3 linked regions of the Drosophila melanogaster genome follow. The protein of the gene in region 1 interacts with the protein of each later gene in a pairwise test. Each region holds a gene or a part of one and is shown on either strand. Other genes may lie near its edges.

Region 1 (3,262 bases):
TGCAAAAGAGAAGGATTTACCACTTATATTTCAAATCGTAAGCCTGTGAAAATAAAGGATGCATTTGGCAGTGTTGAATATGGACGGTTAAAAGGTCCAAGCGCATTTTTAGCTAGTTTGTTAATTAGGCAATACTACCATGTACTCTCTTTATCATTATATCTTATTTTTTATCAATAAAATTTTTCAGCTTCTGATTTTAAAACAGCTACACGATACCCAAAGTTAAAGAAATCTATTGCAGTGTAAGAAAGTCTGCTTACCAATCAAAATATCCGTTTTTTTTCTTTTCTGATTTGTATACTGCCAGCTAAAATATCGCCATTCTACGATCTATCGAAGGTTATGAAAATTCCGTTATACTACAAACTCAACCGCTCGCTACGAAATGTATCGAAGCACTGATTTTCTCAAGTGGCCATATTGAATGTCAACCTAAATTTCTGCCTGCCTCGGCATTTTTTTTTTCCATTTATGTAGCAATTGAAACGAGATCCCACCATGACGATACTGACTCTTTAATATAATAAATTTAATCGTTCTGTTTTCTTAATATCTACAAGTCTTTCGAAAAGATGTGATGTGATGATGAGATAAGATGGAATTACTTCTTGGGTGTCTTTTTCTTTCCGCTAGTGGTGCTGGCTTCTTTCTTTCCCTGGTAGAGGCCCGTATAATAGCCGGACATGTACCAGGCGGTGAGCATGGCCACGAAGTCCTGTTCGGCGCCGTCCCCTTGTCCGACAATCATGGGCGGTACTGGTGGCATGGGCGGCATAACCAGTCCGCCAGAGATCCTACTCCTTCTGGATGACTTGGGAGTCTTTGAATGACTACCAGCGGATGCCTTAGGGCGGCTCAACTGCTCGTCCTCATCCTTCTTGGCGATAAGGAACTGCTCGCGACGCACACGCTTGCCCCAGGACGGCAGGAGGTCCACGAGCAACACCTCCTGCTCGTTCTCATAGCCCAAATAGCGGAGTACGCAGGTGCCCTTCTCCTCGTTAATAGACACCACAGCGCCCTCGTAGTCCACACCATCCACGTAGGTGGCCCTGGCGTAGTCGCCTACTTTGAAGGATACTGGTTCCGGGCTGGTAGCCCCACCAGTGGCCGAGATCTCGCCAGCTTCTTCTTCAGCTGCGGCAGCGTTCTCCTCCTCGCGCTTGTTGGTGGAATCGGCGAGGCGGCGGGCCAAAGCTTCGCGGGCCAGTCCCACCGACTCGTCGTACGTCTTCACCAGCAAGGAGTCATCCCACACCGCGGCGTTCGTCTCGTCGGACATCTCGGCTTTCTATCCTATCAGGCAAGTATCACGTTTTTAAAGGAAGAACCAAGTTTCGCTTTTATGCGAATTTGCTGTGTGTTGGAAAGCGCAGGCGAATCACCGCTTAGCAGCACAGGCCGAAACATGAAACTATCGCTAAAAGGTGTACATTCAAACTAAGATGTGATAAAATTTATGAAGTCATTCTGGGTATTATATTATTCTGAAAGCGAACGAAATGGTTAAGAAATATTTAAATTCAGTAAAGCTGAAAAAAGTTTTCATACTTTGTGGCCAACATTCACAATGCAATCAGAATACTTCCAATGTAATTGTATTGTATTTATTGTTTTAATTGAAGTCTTCTTTTTATACTTTCCACTAAAAATACTTTATTGTGAGTGGTGTTGTACCTATCGTCCCCATTAACCGCACGATAGTATCGATACTTATCAGCATGCATCTTTAACACAATAAACAAACAATAAATTGATCGATCCGACCTGAAAGCGAGATCGCTAAATTTTTTAACTCAATTTCGGAGGTATGGAGTTGGGGTTGGTGTGCCGAATTTGCCTCGGGCAATGTGAAAACGAGTTCAATATTTTTGAAGTTAAGCACGGCACTGAAGCTTCAATAGCGTCAATCATTTCCGAGTGCACTGGCCTCAAAGTGGAAAAAGGCGATCATCTACCCGAAACATTTTGCACCTCCTGCTGCCAAGATGCACAAAATGCGTTCGAGTTTAGAAAAACCCACCAGAGGAGCTAATAATTTTACGTTTAGTTAATGGAGGAATCCCGATTCCGCAAGGTATCTTATTCCGAGGATGGGGAATCGAGTATCGATGGAGGTGCTTTTCAGCATTTTGTCGAACTCGAAAGTGTAGTTGAAGATTGGCGAGGCAGTGGCATGATCCAATGGGAATGTTGTCTAGTGTAGAACGAGCCTCTTTAAAGACGATGATCAGTTCGTGGACTGTGACAGCGATCAATCCAATAGCCAAGTCAATATTGAGGTAATAGACGAAGACTATGATAGTTGTGAAAACCATAGATTGCAAAATAAAGGACGTGATAATGATAAGCTGCTTCAATGTCCTCATTGCCCAACGAGGTTTTGGATAAACTCAGCACTTAAGCAGCACTTGCTGCTTAGCAGCAAAGGCTTTGAAGAGCGTATCGCATCTTTCGGGACATATTGCAATACACACTGAAAAACGGTGCCCCCATTGTACATCGAATTTTACGCTGGCTTCCAATCTTAAAAGGCATCTAATAATCAACACAGGCGAACGCCCCTTCAAGTGCTCCCAATGTCCTAAGGCGTTTTACCCAGAATGCGCATCTTCGAATTCACATGATGAGCCACACAGGAGAGCGACCGTTCCCATGCACCAAGTGCTCCAAAAGCTATTTCACGAACACGCAACTGCGGTACCATCTAAAGACCCACAAAGAATGAGAGTTCTGAATCGCTTAATAATTTAAGTTATTCTTGACACAAAACTTATGCCCAAGGTCAAATAGACGTGATTTCAATACCCGAAATTTTTAACTATACTGAGACAATCACTAATTGAATAAACAGTCCGAGCTTAAATGCGAAAATTTAGATTTAAACTCCATTAGATAGTTTGTTAAAATATATCGATATTAAAGCACAAAGGAAATACAATACCCCTTGGATCAAATCATAAAGCTTTCAGTTGTAAACTGTTAAACTATATAGAGTTCGTCTAAAAAATGTATTTTTCAACTTAAACTTACACTTAAATAATATTCCCAGCCCTGTGGTAACTTGACAATCGATAACTGTTCCGATAACGATTGTCCTATCGCTTTACCCTACAACAATTGCCATCTCTAAAAAAAAGCGAAAATCATCTTGGGAATTTGCAGAAAACATTTAAGCTTCAATATACCAATCTAAAGAATGGCCAACGTGGAATCGCTGTACAAAGAACTGACCGCCGAGTGGTCAAAGCGGCCACCA
Region 2 (8,923 bases), 6.1 Mb from region 1:
TGTATATGTATAGGTCCAGAATCTAAAGCTTTACTTACAGTTGCGATCAGAAGAACATTTGAAACTTGCAGATATTTTACTAGTAGATTAAATTATGTATAGGAAATTTATAAGCGAAATTTGGCTCCATTGGTTTTGTACATATGCTTTATTCTAAAGACTTTCTTGTTTCAACAAGGAAGAGTTATTATTTTTAATGCATTTTCTTATATATATAAATTATATACTATTACTGCAAGGGTATATAAGCTTCATGTTTTTTTGGAAACTAAGAACAAAGAACTAAGCTTATTATTAATTTGGCTAGATCAAAAACTTGTATATTTATAAGGTCGGAAATGCTTTTACCTCTCTTATACTTTTCTGCTAATCTAGTATACCCCTTCAATCTTACGGGTAGTATACATATTCTTTGATTTAAGTCCCTAAGACATTGCATTTAATTTAAAAGTAGAAAGAAAATAATATTAGTTTTTTTTTATGCTATTTGCAGTGTTATATTTCTTCAAAGACGAAACCACTACTGCAAATCTGGTAAGTTACCAAGAAAAACTAGATTCAAAATTCTAAGATCCTTTTAAAGAGTTGATAGAGAACCTATGAAATATTCTAACTGGTACCCCGAAACGATATATTATTTCCTCTCAGTCTAGTTGTTAGTTATATTACTTACCAGCAAGTCGAAACAGTGGACCGAAATGGGGGAATCGAGAGTTGACCCGAATTGTGTTGTTTGCCAATGGAGAACTCAAGAAACGATCCTTGCAAGTGTCGTTTTTCCTCGTTTGCTGACCGACACAGATCCTGTCGATATGATTCAGTGTCCAAAGCGCGAATAACTTTCGGCACTAAAGCAATTTACATAAAATGTTTATTTGGGTATAATTTTGAAATGTGCTCGGAGAATTCTCGTTTTTAAGTGAACTTCGATCGGTTGAGTGTCATGTCGGTGATGTTGAGATTTCTATAATACACAAATAGATATTTAAAAGGTCAATAATGCAGGAGTACTGCTATTAAGAGTTTTCTGACTATAATTCCCCATTCAATGAAAAGCTCTTGAAATAATCATATAAGGATACAAACATTTTTTAAAGCAAAAAATAGCACTTGTGTATTTATGTACTCCTTTCACATTTATTCACCGTGAGTTTTCTCCACTGAATAAAAGTGAGCAAGAAAAAGTGATTGCCGCATATTTCCCACGTGGTGGAAAAGTTTTTTCCAACAATAAAATGCCAAGCGGTGCATAAAGTTCATAGAAAAGTTTTCTCTTTTGTTGATTGAAAATGTCGCTTATTGTCGCAGGCAAAACACCAGAAGAAATCAACAATACAAATGTTGTTGAGAAATTAAAACTAACAATAAACCAATAACGAATTCCAATGCTCAATTAATGCTACAATAATTTAAGTTTACTGATCAAATCAAAATCACTTTAAAACTTTAGAGCTAAGTCAACAAAATCGATTTATTTTCCATTATTATAATTTTTGCATCAAACATAAAATAAAAATTTTAAATATAGATTGCCATGTTCAGTCCAAAAGATGTGTTTCAATGGAAATACAATTTCCAGAAAGATGAGATGCCTTCTCCAAGGATACTCCTCCGCCGATAATTTGCGACCAATAGGGTATTAAAGTCACGGATGTAGAACGATGCCAAAAGAGGCCTTGCAGTTCTCCATAAAGCTGAATCGCCCTCCAGTTAGATATGCAAAAATGCTGTATGACCATGTAAAATCGAATATAGTTGATCAATCCGCTGGCCACAAAGGTCAATATCCAGGGCAAAGCAAATAACAGGAATATATTCCGCGGCAGGGTTCCGTTTTTCAATGCGGAATTCTGTTTTTTGATCCAATTGTTTTTCACTTGCTCTGCAGCTGTTGTCGTAGTTTTAAGGATTCCTTTCTTTTCCATCGATACCTCACTTTTGCCACTTTGCAAGTGTCGTGAGTACCAAACTCCGATCATAGATAGTAGTGAATACATTATGGCCTTAACCAGCATCCAGTGATTGTATTTATAGCCCAATTGAAGCGTTAGATTACGATTCACGGAGGGATAGACCGTTTTTAGATTGGCATTCGCCTCGATGACCGGCTGAAGATTTGAGCCCAAGTGCAGGGATGTCAGCAGCGCAAAGTAACCAATGTCTCGTATTTTGGGTATGAACATGGTTCTCGAATTTGGAGTTCAAAATGAAAAAATTTTAAGTCGTTTTTTAAATTTTGTATCTAATTTTGTGTGACCTCAATGTGCTCTGACATTCCCAGTCTGATTGCTTAAAAAACGTTATATTATAAACATTTTTTGATTTTTATTTTAAATTATACGTAATTAAAATTACGTAATTAAACAATTAGGTAAATAATAAAAGATTTTATCGTTGTTTGTTATAAATTAATTTATTAAATTGAAAGGCAGCGTGCTGAAACTACTTAACTGCATCAACTTATTTTAGCGACATAAATTATTTGAAATTCCCGCCAGCTGGTACAGTTTGAGAGCAACTATTAGCTGTGCTAAAACCCCTGCATTTAAGTGCTTGACAATCTTGCCTTATTCCAACCTATTGGAAATATAAATTTCATATTAAAACAATCAACGGTACGATGTACATATTTTTTTATTGTAAAACAATATATTGTTAAGATTTCAAAAGGAATTAATTTTTTATTTTTAGTTCAATTGGTTGGAGTGCTTGGTAAATAGTTAGCACAGATAGCAACCTTGGTGTGAGCCTTCGCTAATATTTCGACATAAGATTTAAATACAGAAAATAATATTTAATTCTAACAATTATACCTTATTTCTGTGTGAAATTATGAAAAATGTAAACATTTCTCTGAATACAAATGACATTTCGTTACTGTAGGTTTTGTTCTGTGTAAATAGGTTTAATATTCACGGATAATTCGTTTGTAGTATATTTTAGTATATAATTATTCGCGTATGATGGATTTTTTGGCCGGCAATAAAAAAGTGTAAATTGTAGCAAGGCAACCGAATCGTTTCAAAATTTTGTCCAAAAAGTGGAAATTTACGCGAAATGGAGCGCGAAATAGCGCACAGTTTAGCTGGCGGCGAGGAACGAAGTAGCGATGTGGCACCTGGACAGGTTAAGACCTTCGAGGAACTGCGTCTATACCGAAATCTGTTGAACGGATTGAAGCGCAACAATTTCGTGACGCCAACGAAGATTCAGGCAGCTGCCATACCCATGGCACTGGCCAAAATGGGTAAATATCTTGCATGCAACAGAAGATTATCAATAATAGTTGCTATATTAATCTGCAGATCTAATAATACAATCGAAGAGTGGAACTGGCAAAACTCTAATCTATGTTATAGCCGTCGTTCAGAGCTTTAATCCCAACATAAACCAACCGCATGCCATGATCGTGGTCCCAACTCGAGAGCTGGCCATTCAGGTGCAGGACACATTTTTCCATCTCTGCAAATCGTTTCGGGACTTTAAATGCTCTGCTTTCATCGGTGGCACCGATGTGGCCAAGGATCGCAAGCGAATGAATGAAAGTCGAGTCATTATCGGTACACCGGGACGTTTGCTGCATCTGTATGAGAATAGAGTATTCGATGTGTCCAAACTGCGACTGCTGGTGCTCGACGAGGCCGATCAACTTTATCAGACAAAGAGCCTGCAGCATACGGTCAGTAAACTCATTGAGGCAATGCCCAAGAATCGGCAAATAATTGCCTGCAGTGCCACATACGATCAGAATTTGGATGAGCGTCTGGCCAAGGTCATGGACAAACCCATGCTTATATCGAATTCCGAAAGGGCTACCGTTCTACTGGGCATTCGGCAGTTTGTCTACGAATTGCCACAGCAGAATAACAGTGTGGAGGAGATGCGTCTTAAACTGCAGATTCTTGGCCAGATCTTTAATCAGCTGCCTTACGAACAGGCCATCATCTTTGCTAGCTCACAAATGCGAGCGGATTCTTACAAGAACTATCTTACAGCCAGTGGTATCGATTGTCATTTAATTTCGGGAGCCATGGAACAATCGGAGCGTTTGCATGTTTTCGAGGGCTATAGAAACTTTACTATGCGCATCCTGGTGGCCACTGATTTGATGGCACGCGGAGTGGACTCCCCGCATGCCAACCTGGTTATCAACATTGATCCACCACAGGATCATGTCACCTATTTGCACCGCATTGGACGAGCTGGTCGGTTTGGCTCCAAAGGCATAGCCATCACGTTTATTGCCTCCAAGAAGGAGAGCCAGAGATTTAGGGAAATGTCAAAAAAAATCGCTACGGCTTGGTCGGTTCTGGAGTTTCCCAAGGAGCCAATGCCCAATGAATTCAATTTTTGGGATTTCGAAAAGTACAACTTTGATTATTACATTAAGGAAGAGAATCCGCTACAGGAAATGCCTATGCCTATTAAAGAAAATAGAAGTAAAGAAAATGTTGATGCTTCTTCAGTTGACTTGGAAAATCTTCAAAAGGATCAGGATGGCAAAAGGAGAGATCCAGACAAACTACCAGTGGCCTTAGAAAATGTTGAAACCCAAAAAGAGTTGGAGCTCGAAAACTTACCAGAAAGTTCACATAATAATAAGAATCTTAGGGTCAAAGAGAAAGAAATTGTAAGGCAAGGAAAGCTTAAAGAAACTAATTCCAAAGCTGGAGGTTCTAAAACGAACAAGACGGAGAGAAGGAAAAAATCTAACACTCCATCAAAGTTACAGAAACAAATAACTGAAGTGCAGCAAACACCAGAGATCACCGTAAATAAATACTATATGCAAGAAGACATACAACGAACAGCAGACGGCAAAGAGTATCATCCTGTTAATGGAGCGGGAAACCACCAGGTTCCGTCAAAATCTAATCAAAAACCGGTGGAGTTTATATCTCCCGAATTGACACCAACCCTAACACCATTGGAACTGACCCAGGAGCCGTCTCCAACCACAGTGACACCACCTGCACCGCCAGCCAACTCGATTAACAACAAAACCTATTGCCTAGCTGCTCCAACGCAAACCAGTTCGATGACCATACAGAACATGGTAATATCGAACACGGTGGACGATGCCAGTAGCATCAGTTCGGATAGCATGGTGGTATGTGGCTATCATAGCGATAGGTCCTACGACACATACTATGCAACCAGTGATGAGGAGGAGATCTGGAATAGATTAATGTCGAAACAAAGGCGTCAGCTGAAGAGCAAGAGAGGCCATGGAAAACGGCGTGTGATACTATACAAGAAAGTATTTCCTAAACTAAAGGCGAATGTTAAACGCAAGCTTAAAAAACGGATGAGCTCGTCATGCAGATCCAAAAAAGCACACCATTTGCGAAAACGTCATGTATACAAAAATATATCACTTTTGCCACACATGAATTTGTGTCATCTGCTTCAAAAATTTACAAATCAAGAGAGATTTTTGAAACGGCTCCACAAATATGCAAAGAATCAATTCATTGACAATGCGAGGGTTGGCTTTTTGCTGGATAAGCTCTATAAATCCATCCTGGAAATGTACTATAACAGTGCTAAGGAGAGGAAGAAGCATTTTAAGGAAGCTATGAAGGAGTCCCTAAAATCCATTGATAACTACGAGAGCCAAGAGTCTTCGGAATCAGAGGAGGAGGAGGAGGAGGAGAAGGATCTAAAGAACAAGTTAAGTGTTCATGTGACGAATCAGATGGACATACCACCAATGCCACAGGCCGCTGTTGAAATTGGTTCAGGAAGTGAATCGGATACGGAGGACTCGCAGGAATACGGCGAAGGCGAAGAGATCATTGTGGACGATGAGGACGATGGCAGCGATGGCGGGCCAAATTCATCGAGTGGTTTTGTAGAGAGTCAGGAGAGTGTTTCGTCTGGAATAGACACTTCCGTTTACGAAACGGAATCTACGGGCGCATCTGGAAATAATTCAAGTGCATTCTTTATTTCGGATGATGAATCAGATACTGAATCCTTAACAGATTCGGAAGCTGGAAGCAATGTCAGCGCGACAGGATCAAGCTCACAGCGATCTTCAGTAGCGAGCAGCACCTATGAATCTTCGGATGATGATTCTGTAACTGTAACCAATGTCAGTTCAATGCAGAACGCTCAATCATTGTGGTTGCAGACTTTCAACATGCAGTACCAATTCATTGCATCCCATGTGGCCAAGAATCTACAGAACTATTACTAAGTGGTTATGAATGAAAAACTAGTGAAAACTCAGGCATTAAAATTAAACTCAACTAATCACTTCATTCGGAAACAAAACGGATCAGTTCCAAGAGAGGCTGTATCAGTCTCTTTCCTTACAATTGTATATCGTAGCCAGTTAAACCGTTTTCTTAATTAGAATACTCAATGTCGAAATAGTTGATAGCATGTTGGATACCATGAATGTTTTTTTATGCAAGCAATAAATTGCAGAATTTGTTACCAAAAAAATAAATGAATTAAAGCAGGAAACTAACTATTTTGAATTTATTAAACAATAAGTTCATTGCTCAACTTCTTTGATTTCAAAATTGATTGTTTTTCATGTTTATTCGCTACATAATCGCATCAAACAAATTAATCCACAATGTGAAAGTTAAATCCCTTTAATCACTCGCAATGATTTATCTAAGAGATGGGAAAACAAACATTTTTCTTGGTTTCGGCAAGCCGGATGGATGAAGGTAAAGAAGCGGCGCCAACCGACTGCCGGGACATAAATCATATAGTCAGTGGGATCGGGATCGGCATCGACCATCGACCATCGGGCAACGGGCATCAGCTGTGTGGCAGACAACATTGTTGCACGGGCGCCGCTCACTTTGCAACTGACTGCAGAGGTGTTAACCCATTAATTAGCTGTTGTCAAAAGTCGTTCACTCGATTTTGAAAGCCACTCGAAAATCAGAATGGATTGTACAAAAATATGACATATATTTATGTTTTATTTATTTATTTAATGCATTTTGTGAATTATTTGTGCAACGAATGCCATGTTTGTCAGCAAATAAATGAGTTCTACTATTTTCTTTTTATACTCCACTGCTGTATTTAATTTTTAAAATACTTCGATTCATAAATAATTTATTTTTAAATTGATTAAATGCAGTTAAAATTTTTAAGTTTCCTTTTACGAGTTTTGTGTCCCCATTTGCGAGTGCTTCGCAATGGGTTAAGCGAATGAGACGGTCCACAGGCGGCATGCCGCGTCGGTGGCATAGTCAAAACATTCGCCCTGCGGTCGAGCACGCAAAAAGCCGGCATCTGGATGGTACTGCTCATTGGTCGTCGATCTGCAGTGCCCCAAGTGCCCCTCTTTTGGAGTGCAACACCCCTCCCCCCCCTGCGTTGCAAGTCCAATAAGGAGCGTGAGAAAACGCAAATTCAAAGCGAGCTGGAAGCGACAACATTTTATAGATCCTAGAGACATGGATAGCGTTGCATTTTGTCGCTGCCGCAGTGGCAGCAAACTCAATTCGATTAGCGATAAATGCGAGATGCGAAAAATGCTCGGCCAGCTGGTGCAGGTGTTAAAGTCTTATAATGATGTTAACATTTTTATGGCTCACAACAAAATAAACTAAAAATTTGTTCAGCGCAATAATATTTTTGCGGTCTCGTCGTCCATATATGGGGGCACCAGGCAATTGCCGCCGCGTTTTTTTTTGTGTTTTTCATCTGTGGGCCAAGTGGAACGCTCCAGGGGCCATGGGCAATTTGCAGATACTGATTCAGATACACCGGGCCGCACAAAACCTAATTAAAATTGCTGAACGTCGTGAAAATAATTATAGCGATATTAATAGAAAATTAAGTAAAATATCACATTTAGGATATTACAACAATTGCTTTTTAACATGAAGCTGCAAACGTAATAATTAAAATAAGGATATGAGCTTAAGATAGTCACAATGAAATTAGATAATTGATTAGTCAGCTACGATAGATATGCAAAATTTTATTTTATTGATAATTGGTATTGAATATACCAATAAACAGATAAAACGCTATCTTTGCTGACCTGAAAACCAAATAAATGAGGCACGTTAAGATGCAAGAATCCATTAGTCGCCCAACTGCTAATTAGAATTTATTGCTTATGAAATTATGATAAACGAAGTAGAGATCTCAATTAAGATAGCCAACGCGCTAATCAATTTAACTTAATCCTAGCCCTTGGCTAACCGAAGATTAGCAGCAGCTGAAGATATTACCTTCCCCCCCACCAGCCGCCCCCTTTTCGACCCCTTGGGGGTGTGGCTCAGCTCCGATTTATGTGACCGAATGCACAACGCCCGGCCACGCATTCATAAATAAAAGTCATCATTAATTAAATTTAGTATAAACAACATGGCATGCCTGCAATTATTCACTCACTCATTCACTCGCTTGTTGCTCTTTCGGCCCAAAACGCGACGACATGGCAACAAATAAAAAAAATAAAAAAAAAACATGAATAAATAAATAAAAACTAAAAGCGTAAGAAGCCAAAGGAAACAAAATAAATAAAATAAATAAGCCAAAAAAGAAACGATAGGAAAACGCACGCAATACGCGCCGGGCAAACAAAGCAGAAAAAATCGTTGACAAAAATGATCTGTGGGCAATTATAATGAATTATTTTGACACTTAGGGCCTGTGCAAATGCATAACTTAAATGCATAAACGTAATTTATGCAGTGCCCCACTGAAATGCTGTTTTATCGCATTTTAAATGTGATAAATAAAGTTCTGGGTTATGTTTTTTCATTTTCATTTTTTTCTTCTCTTATATTTTTTTGGGACCACATAAATAGAGTCCTACGCAAGAAATATTTTCGCTGGCATTTTTCACTTAACTACAAGTTGCATATGGCATGGAAAATTGCGCAAAATCCGTTTTTAATTGGTGAAAAATAGCAAAGATTTTCCACGCTTTCGG
Region 3 (6,292 bases), on another chromosome or scaffold:
GACTTGAGGTCCATGTTCACGATGTCCTCCGGCCGCGCCTTTGGTTTGGGCAGGCCCACGTCCTGCATCAGGTCGAAGGCGAAGGCCACGTTGCTGACCATCTGATCCACGTCCTGCGGCGTCAAATGGAACTCGTGCAGCGGCACAAAGAATCCACCGAGCAGGCCCATCAGCAGGCACAGGTATACGCCGTCGCGAAAGTCCGTGTTCAGATCGCTGATCTCAAAGTTCAGCTTGGCCAGGTGCTTGTTCACGAACGTGATCAAGGACTTCTTCACCACGGCCAGCTTGTCCGGCGCACAGTCGATCAGCGTGTCGAAGGCGTCCTTTTCGCAGCGCATGCCCAGGTCGTCGTACTCGGACGTTATCTGCTCCTGGAACTTCTGCGCGTTCAGCACGCCCGCATTCTTCTCCGCAATCACGACGGTCACGAACACGTTCTCTGGCAGGCGAACGGGCGCCCGGAAGTGACGCACCAGTGCCACCAGCAGATGTAATATGGCCACAATGTTCTTCGAGTGCACGCTGGCCACCGACCACTTGGGAATCTTTTGGTGAAAGCCGAGTGTCTGTGGGTGTGGGCAAGGATAAAATTTATTCTTATATCGCGAGAAAAGGGAATGTTAATTGTAAATCGAATAAAAATTATTCTATTCGACTTTAAGAATGGATAAATAATTAAATGTTGGTAACTCCGATTTTTAAATCCTGCAAAACATAAACTACTACTACTTACATGGTTGACGGCCTTCAGGACGATGTTGAGCTTCTCGTGCTGGCCCTGCTCTGACTGGGTGACCTCAGGAACGTCCAGCTTCTTGCCGGTGAGCTTCTCCCACAGCTTGTGCAGCACCTGGCCGTCATACATGTCCTCTTCCAGGTGCTGAACAATTATGCGCTGCTCGGCCAGCTCGTCGTTGATCCAGTCGACGAGGATGCGCTGCAGCTTTATCACCTGGGGATCACTGATGGACTGTGGATCGATGACGGCGCGCTGTTCGTGCTCGCCTGTAGGATCAAATGTGATGAGTTGTGGGAAATGCGATGGGTATACGAGGAGATGCCCCTTCAAAACGAATGCACTTACGCAGGGCATAGTCCTCCGGCGGGATGTCATACTGGCTGGGCGATCCAGGCGAGTCGATGGCGTACTTGCCCTCCTCTTGGACCTTCTTCACTGCAAATGGAGCAAGCGGATGCGTATTTAGGGTATCAACAAGGTAAACAAAAACGGTGACGACACAAGGCCATCTCACACAAACGCACACACTCTCGATTATCAGCGCCGTTTGCTTGTGTGGGTCAACAGTGACGCAATGTTCTGATTAATCAGCGCATCCGCACATCTGTTCCCAGAAGAGCTTCCAGTGCGCAGGGGGAGGATCCATTGGGTCATTTTGGGCCACTTTTCGGAGGTTCAGGGGTCCAAGAATGGAATACTCTGGGATACCCATCAATTCCTGGCCGACAATAGCCATCTGGAGAGCTCCAATCATCAAGTGGACTTACCTTCGCGGGTGCCGCGTTTGCGGCCCAAAGTGCTGAACTTGTCCCAGAAGCTGTCCTCCTTCTCGCCCTTTTTAATGGCGGTGGGCGTGTGCGGGGATTTAGGGCGGTTCAGTGTGGACATGGTGCTGCTGGATTCCAAGAATTCCGGACTAAGTGAACAGTTTGTGTTATTGTTTCGATTCGTTTCGGGCGGAGCTGAGCAATCAGTTTCCCTTGGGGCTGCCACCTGATCGCAGGCCCACCACACATGTTGTCCAACACTGGCGTTCGGACTCAAGAGAAACTTCCAAAAAAATCGAATAAAAACTAAATTGCCAATTATAAAAATTGTTTAAAAAGACCTTAGATTAAATTAAAACAATGAGCTTAAATGTTATTTTTCATTTATAATTTAAAAAAAATGTGGCTTTTGACAACAACAGCTAGAAGAAATTCATATCAGCTTAATAGTTTTTGAATTTGTACATCAAATTAAATTGTTGGAAATTTTAAAAAAATTATAATGCGTAGATCATTAGATCATTGATTAAAAAGCACAACAACATATGTATGTATGTATGTCCTTCATACCGAATCAGATCAGATATAATTCGTATATATTAGATATGCTATATCCAGAAAGATAAATTTCGTACCGCTTAAAAATTATTGTACCACATTGCGTATACAGATAACTACCAATCCAATGATTTAAAGGCTTTCAGAATAGTTACATATATGTATAATACGGAACTAGGGCTATACTACGTCTATGGTTTAGATGGAGTTGGGCAACTGGCAGGCGCGCACAGCCACGAGCTGCAACAGAACGAAGATCGGCGAGAAGACCTCCGAATACTCGAGGCCCGTCTTGCTGGATAGCTTCAGGCAGAGCAGGTACTTGAAGATGGCGATGAGCACCAGGAAATACGTGCTCCACATGAAGCGATGCAGGGCTTTGCGCTTGTTGTTAGAGTCCAGGTACATGCGGATGCCCACAATGACGCAAAAGTACGCGTTGCAGATGTCGATGAAGAACAGGGGGCTGAAGACGGTGAACCAGTCGCCCATGGGCTCCGGGAGTATGCCACCGGGTCCGGCCCTGGCCTGCAGATGGAGCTTGACGGTCAGCGTGATGGTGAACACCAGCAGGCCGCACAGATTGACCAGAATCTCGAACTCGGTGAGCCCCAGCCAGCGCACCAGCTCCGAGAGTTTGAACATGCTACTGCCTGGCCTTCGCCTTGCCTCGGAACTGGCCCAGGGACTGGGCTTGCGTCTGGGACTGCGACGGTTGCGGCACGGCGATGTCGAAGAGACTGTTATTGAGGATCTTGATGTGCAGGGCCGAGTTGTTGCGCTGGCGGAAGGTTATGTCCTCGGCATCGCACAGCGGGTGCAGTTCGTCCACCAGCTGAACGGTGGAGGTGTTGATGGCGTAGCTAAGGGCGCCGTCAGAATTCTGGACGAGGCGTAGGGCGATATTGAGGCCGCGGGTTACGGAGAAGCCCATGCAATGCAGAAAGATCTCGTGGGCGCCGGAGTTAATCAGCTCCTCGCAGCGGCGCTGCTGGGCCTGTCAAGGAGATGGACTCTGTCACTTAGCACATGGGCGATTCACCATCCAGCATGAGTTCAGTTCTACTTGCCTTAAAGTCTGTCTTGCTGGTGATGTAGATGTTGTGGCGGTCGCTAACAGCGGGACGCGGCGGCTGCTTGCGCACCACTCGGTGGTTCTGTTGTTTGTGGTATTTGGCGGATCTCGGCTTGGTCCCGTGCTCGGGATAATTGCTTCCCATCATCAGCGGCGGAGGAGGCGACTTGTGTTTTCCATTTACCTGCGCGTGTCGCAGTTTCGGACTCGCGACTCCATTCCGAATCGCACGCTGGCCAACACTGGCCAACTCTAGCGAACACTAGGCAATAGCTGAGCGATCTGGCAGCCTGGCTCTAGCTGTCACCGTGACAGCTCTCGATAGTTTTGAGCCAGCCCATCGCTATAGCTATCGCCAGGCTCGTGAGATTCTCGCCAGTTGAAAATTTTTCGTCGTACTCTCGTAACAACAAAGGTATGTTTTTCGTTTTGGCACCTTATCAAGTACACCAGACCGTAAGCCAAGGCACCGATCGATGCCATCCAAAGCAAGAATTAACTTGGCCGCGCGGCGCCACTTCGCCACTCCAAATCGCAACACTCGCACACACACACACATACACTAGCGCACTTACACACTTCCGCTGGCGAATTCCTCGGGCAGCAGGAAAAGAAGAAAGAAAAAAGTACAAGTTACATAACTCGCTGATGCACTCGGGGTAGTCATGTCTGTCGGGGTGAGTTGTTTGATGAGGGGCGGGCCGGGTCTGCATCTTCCTGCGTAAGTTGGCCCCCACCAAATGGATCCGTAACCGAATGGGCGTACGGATCCCCAGGGTTACATAAGTCACCGCCCGCCACCGAGGGGTTGCAACGGAAAGCGAACAGAAACAGTCCCCTTAACGTAGCCACTATTTTGTAGCCAGAAAGAAAACTCAACTCAAATCAGATCAGATCAAACCCCCTGCACAGCGCGTCCTGGTTCGAGTAACGTTTTGTATTCATGCGTTCAAGTCATTTTTCCATGCAGGCGAATCCGAAAATCCGATACGTTTCAGAGTCGCAAACAGTCAAGAGTTAAGCACAAATCGCCACTAAAAGCTAAAAGGCTAACAAGCTGAATCGCACTGATTCGCACGTAGCCAGCCAAACGGAAGGACTCCTCCGCATCCACAGCAGCAGCAACGGCGAGCAGCACGAACAACATCCACGGATGATAACGTAACGTAGCCGCAACGTTGGAGCAACACCACCTTCCACATCCACTTCCACCGCAGCGGACATCGCAAACAAGTAAATTACCATTTCTCATTTTATCAAACAGAAATCTGCCAGCCAAGTACCAATCCAATCAAATCGAATCGAATCAAATCAAATCGAGTCCAAATCAAATCAATGCATCCAAATCCAAGTCTGAGTATCCAAATTGCATAAGAGTCGCGTCTGCGCAGTGAAGCATTACTTGTCGCGAGCATTACTTATCGCCCGTCCACTTGGTTGGAGTTCCGGCTCCCGAATCCGTACCCAATGTCACCCAAGTCAACCCGATTTTGATTCTGATTCGGCCCGGTCAAGGAGCCAGCGCCAGCCAAGTCAAGACAGTGCTCGAAAATAATGCTAGATTCTCGATTATCGATTCTTGGTTCTCCATTCAAGATTCTGACACGCGCCAAACCGAACAGAAAAGAATAGAATCGAACCGTACCGAACCGAACCGAGACGCAGATCCAAAAAAAGAACAAAACGCTAACTGATTACAAAGTATACAGATCTTGTGTATAGGTATTTCGTAAACGCGCCTCTGTCAACTGCTCGATTTAACGCGGCACAGTTTCGATTTGCAGATCATCACTACATCCACACCCGACATGTCGGCGGCCCGCCTGCCCTACTATCAGCGGGATCAGGAGGACGGCCACCAGCGGCGCGCCGCACGCGGCCATCAGCGCGGCTACTACGAGCGTGGCTCTGGTTCCGGATCCTCCAGACGAGAGCACAGTCGCTACAGTCGCAGCCGTTCGCGTTCCCGCAGTCGCAGCCGCTCCGCCGAACGCTTTGGCCAGCGTCGCCGCCACCAGAAACGGCAGTCATCCCGTTACCACAGAGACCGCGACTCCAGAGATCGCTCCCGAGATCGCTCCCGAGATCGCTCTAGGGATCGCGAACGTGATCGCGATAGGGACCACTCAAGGCGCTCCAGCCACTATCGACGCTCGGAATCGCCGTCCTCTTCTGACATTGGCCATGGATCCAACAACAGTCAACGAAGAGGCCACCATGCATCATCATCCAGTAAATCGGAGCTAAGCGCCGTACAGAAGGCAGCCGCTGCAGCTGCCGCCGCCACAAATCAAGTCCAGTTGGCTGGCAAGAGCAGTGCCGCGTCCGCGGTGGGCGCCTACTACAACCTGGACACCGACGAGCCCTTTGACAAGGAGCGCATCCACCGCGAAATGGAGCAGAAGCTGCGCGAAGCACTGGCCAGGGAGGGCAAAGTGTATCCGCCGCCAAAGCCTGAGCCACCATCGCATCCTGTCTTCGCCAACGACGGCTCGTTCATGGAGCTGTTTAAGAAGATGCAGGAGGGCCAAAAGCAGCAAGCGACCAGCCAGTTGATGCAGCCATCGGTCAAAGAGGTCCTGCAGCAGCAGTTGGTTCCGCCGGAGGCGGCCTCCACAGGGCCTGCACTGCCGGCCATTGCATTGGGAGCTGCCAGCAGTGCTGCGGCGCCGTACATTGCTGCCGCGGCGGCCGGAAAGCTGGCGCCGCCGCCACCCATCGTGGGACGACGTCGCGGCGGAAAAGTTCTCAAAACTGGCGTAGTGGCCAAAGTGAAGACGCCCAATGAGAGCGACGTGGACCCGAAGGACTTCTGGTCGTTGTACCTGGCCGAGGTCAACAAGTACAAGAGCAACGCCTGCGATACGGACAACGGCAAGCGGCCGCTGGTCAAGTAGTCGCCGAAATAGTCGCGCTTTCCATAGAAACATGAACTTGAACGCAAAAAGAGCGAGAAACGTATACTGCCCAGACGCAGTACTGCAGATTCGATTTTGATTCGACCATACCCCTGTTCCCGAGACACCATCACATAGCGATCCCTTCCCGGCCCCTTTGAAATGTTTTGTACACGAAAACAAGCGAGCAGAGATGCGTAGCTTATAGTTTTAGTCGAGAGTGGGTGGGCTTATGAGCTGCAAGCGCGAGCAG

The links. The genes of interacting proteins can lie anywhere in the genome.
Region 2: the proteins of Smn (region 1) and Gem3 interact in a two-hybrid assay, tested with the Drosophila melanogaster proteins (2 studies listed by BioGRID).
Region 3: the proteins of Smn (region 1) and Rpp20 interact in binary tests that used the Drosophila melanogaster proteins (3 or more experiments, as listed by UniProt).

The regions. Positions count from the first base shown.
Region 1 is NT_037436.4:16,579,898-16,583,159, forward strand, and holds Smn (survival motor neuron), read right to left. Parts: upstream 1,651-3,262; 5' UTR 1,555-1,650; intron 1,491-1,554; 5' UTR 1,286-1,490; coding exon 605-1,285; 3' UTR 501-604; downstream 1-500. Other genes in the region: Rpn12 (regulatory particle non-ATPase 12), read left to right, coding at 3,203-3,262. UniProt on the Drosophila melanogaster protein: Core component of the survival motor neuron (SMN) complex that plays an essential role in spliceosomal small nuclear ribonucleoprotein (snRNP) assembly in the cytoplasm, is required for pre-mRNA splicing in the nucleus and acts as a chaperone that discriminates target and non-target RNAs of Sm proteins.
Region 2 is NT_037436.4:10,457,161-10,466,083, reverse strand, and holds Gem3 (gemin 3), read left to right. Parts: upstream 1-2,982; 5' UTR 2,983-3,057; coding exon 3,058-3,247; intron 3,248-3,305; coding exon 3,306-6,202; 3' UTR 6,203-7,003; downstream 7,004-8,923. Other genes in the region: CG32061 (uncharacterized protein), read right to left, coding at 1,539-2,183.
Region 3 is NC_004354.4:19,741,527-19,747,818, reverse strand, and holds Rpp20 (ribonuclease P protein subunit p20), read right to left. Parts: upstream 3,389-6,292; 5' UTR 3,291-3,388; coding exon 3,138-3,290; intron 3,065-3,137; coding exon 2,714-3,064; 3' UTR 2,713-2,713; coding exon of another isoform or gene 2,266-2,712; 3' UTR 1,921-2,265; downstream 1-1,920. Other genes in the region: parvin, read right to left, coding at 1-569, 737-1,008, 1,088-1,177, 1,510-1,630; CG33932 (uncharacterized protein), read right to left, coding at 2,266-2,712; CG18809 (uncharacterized protein), read left to right, coding at 4,951-6,039. UniProt on the Drosophila melanogaster protein: Component of ribonuclease P, a protein complex that generates mature tRNA molecules by cleaving their 5'-ends. Also a component of RNase MRP complex, which cleaves pre-rRNA sequences.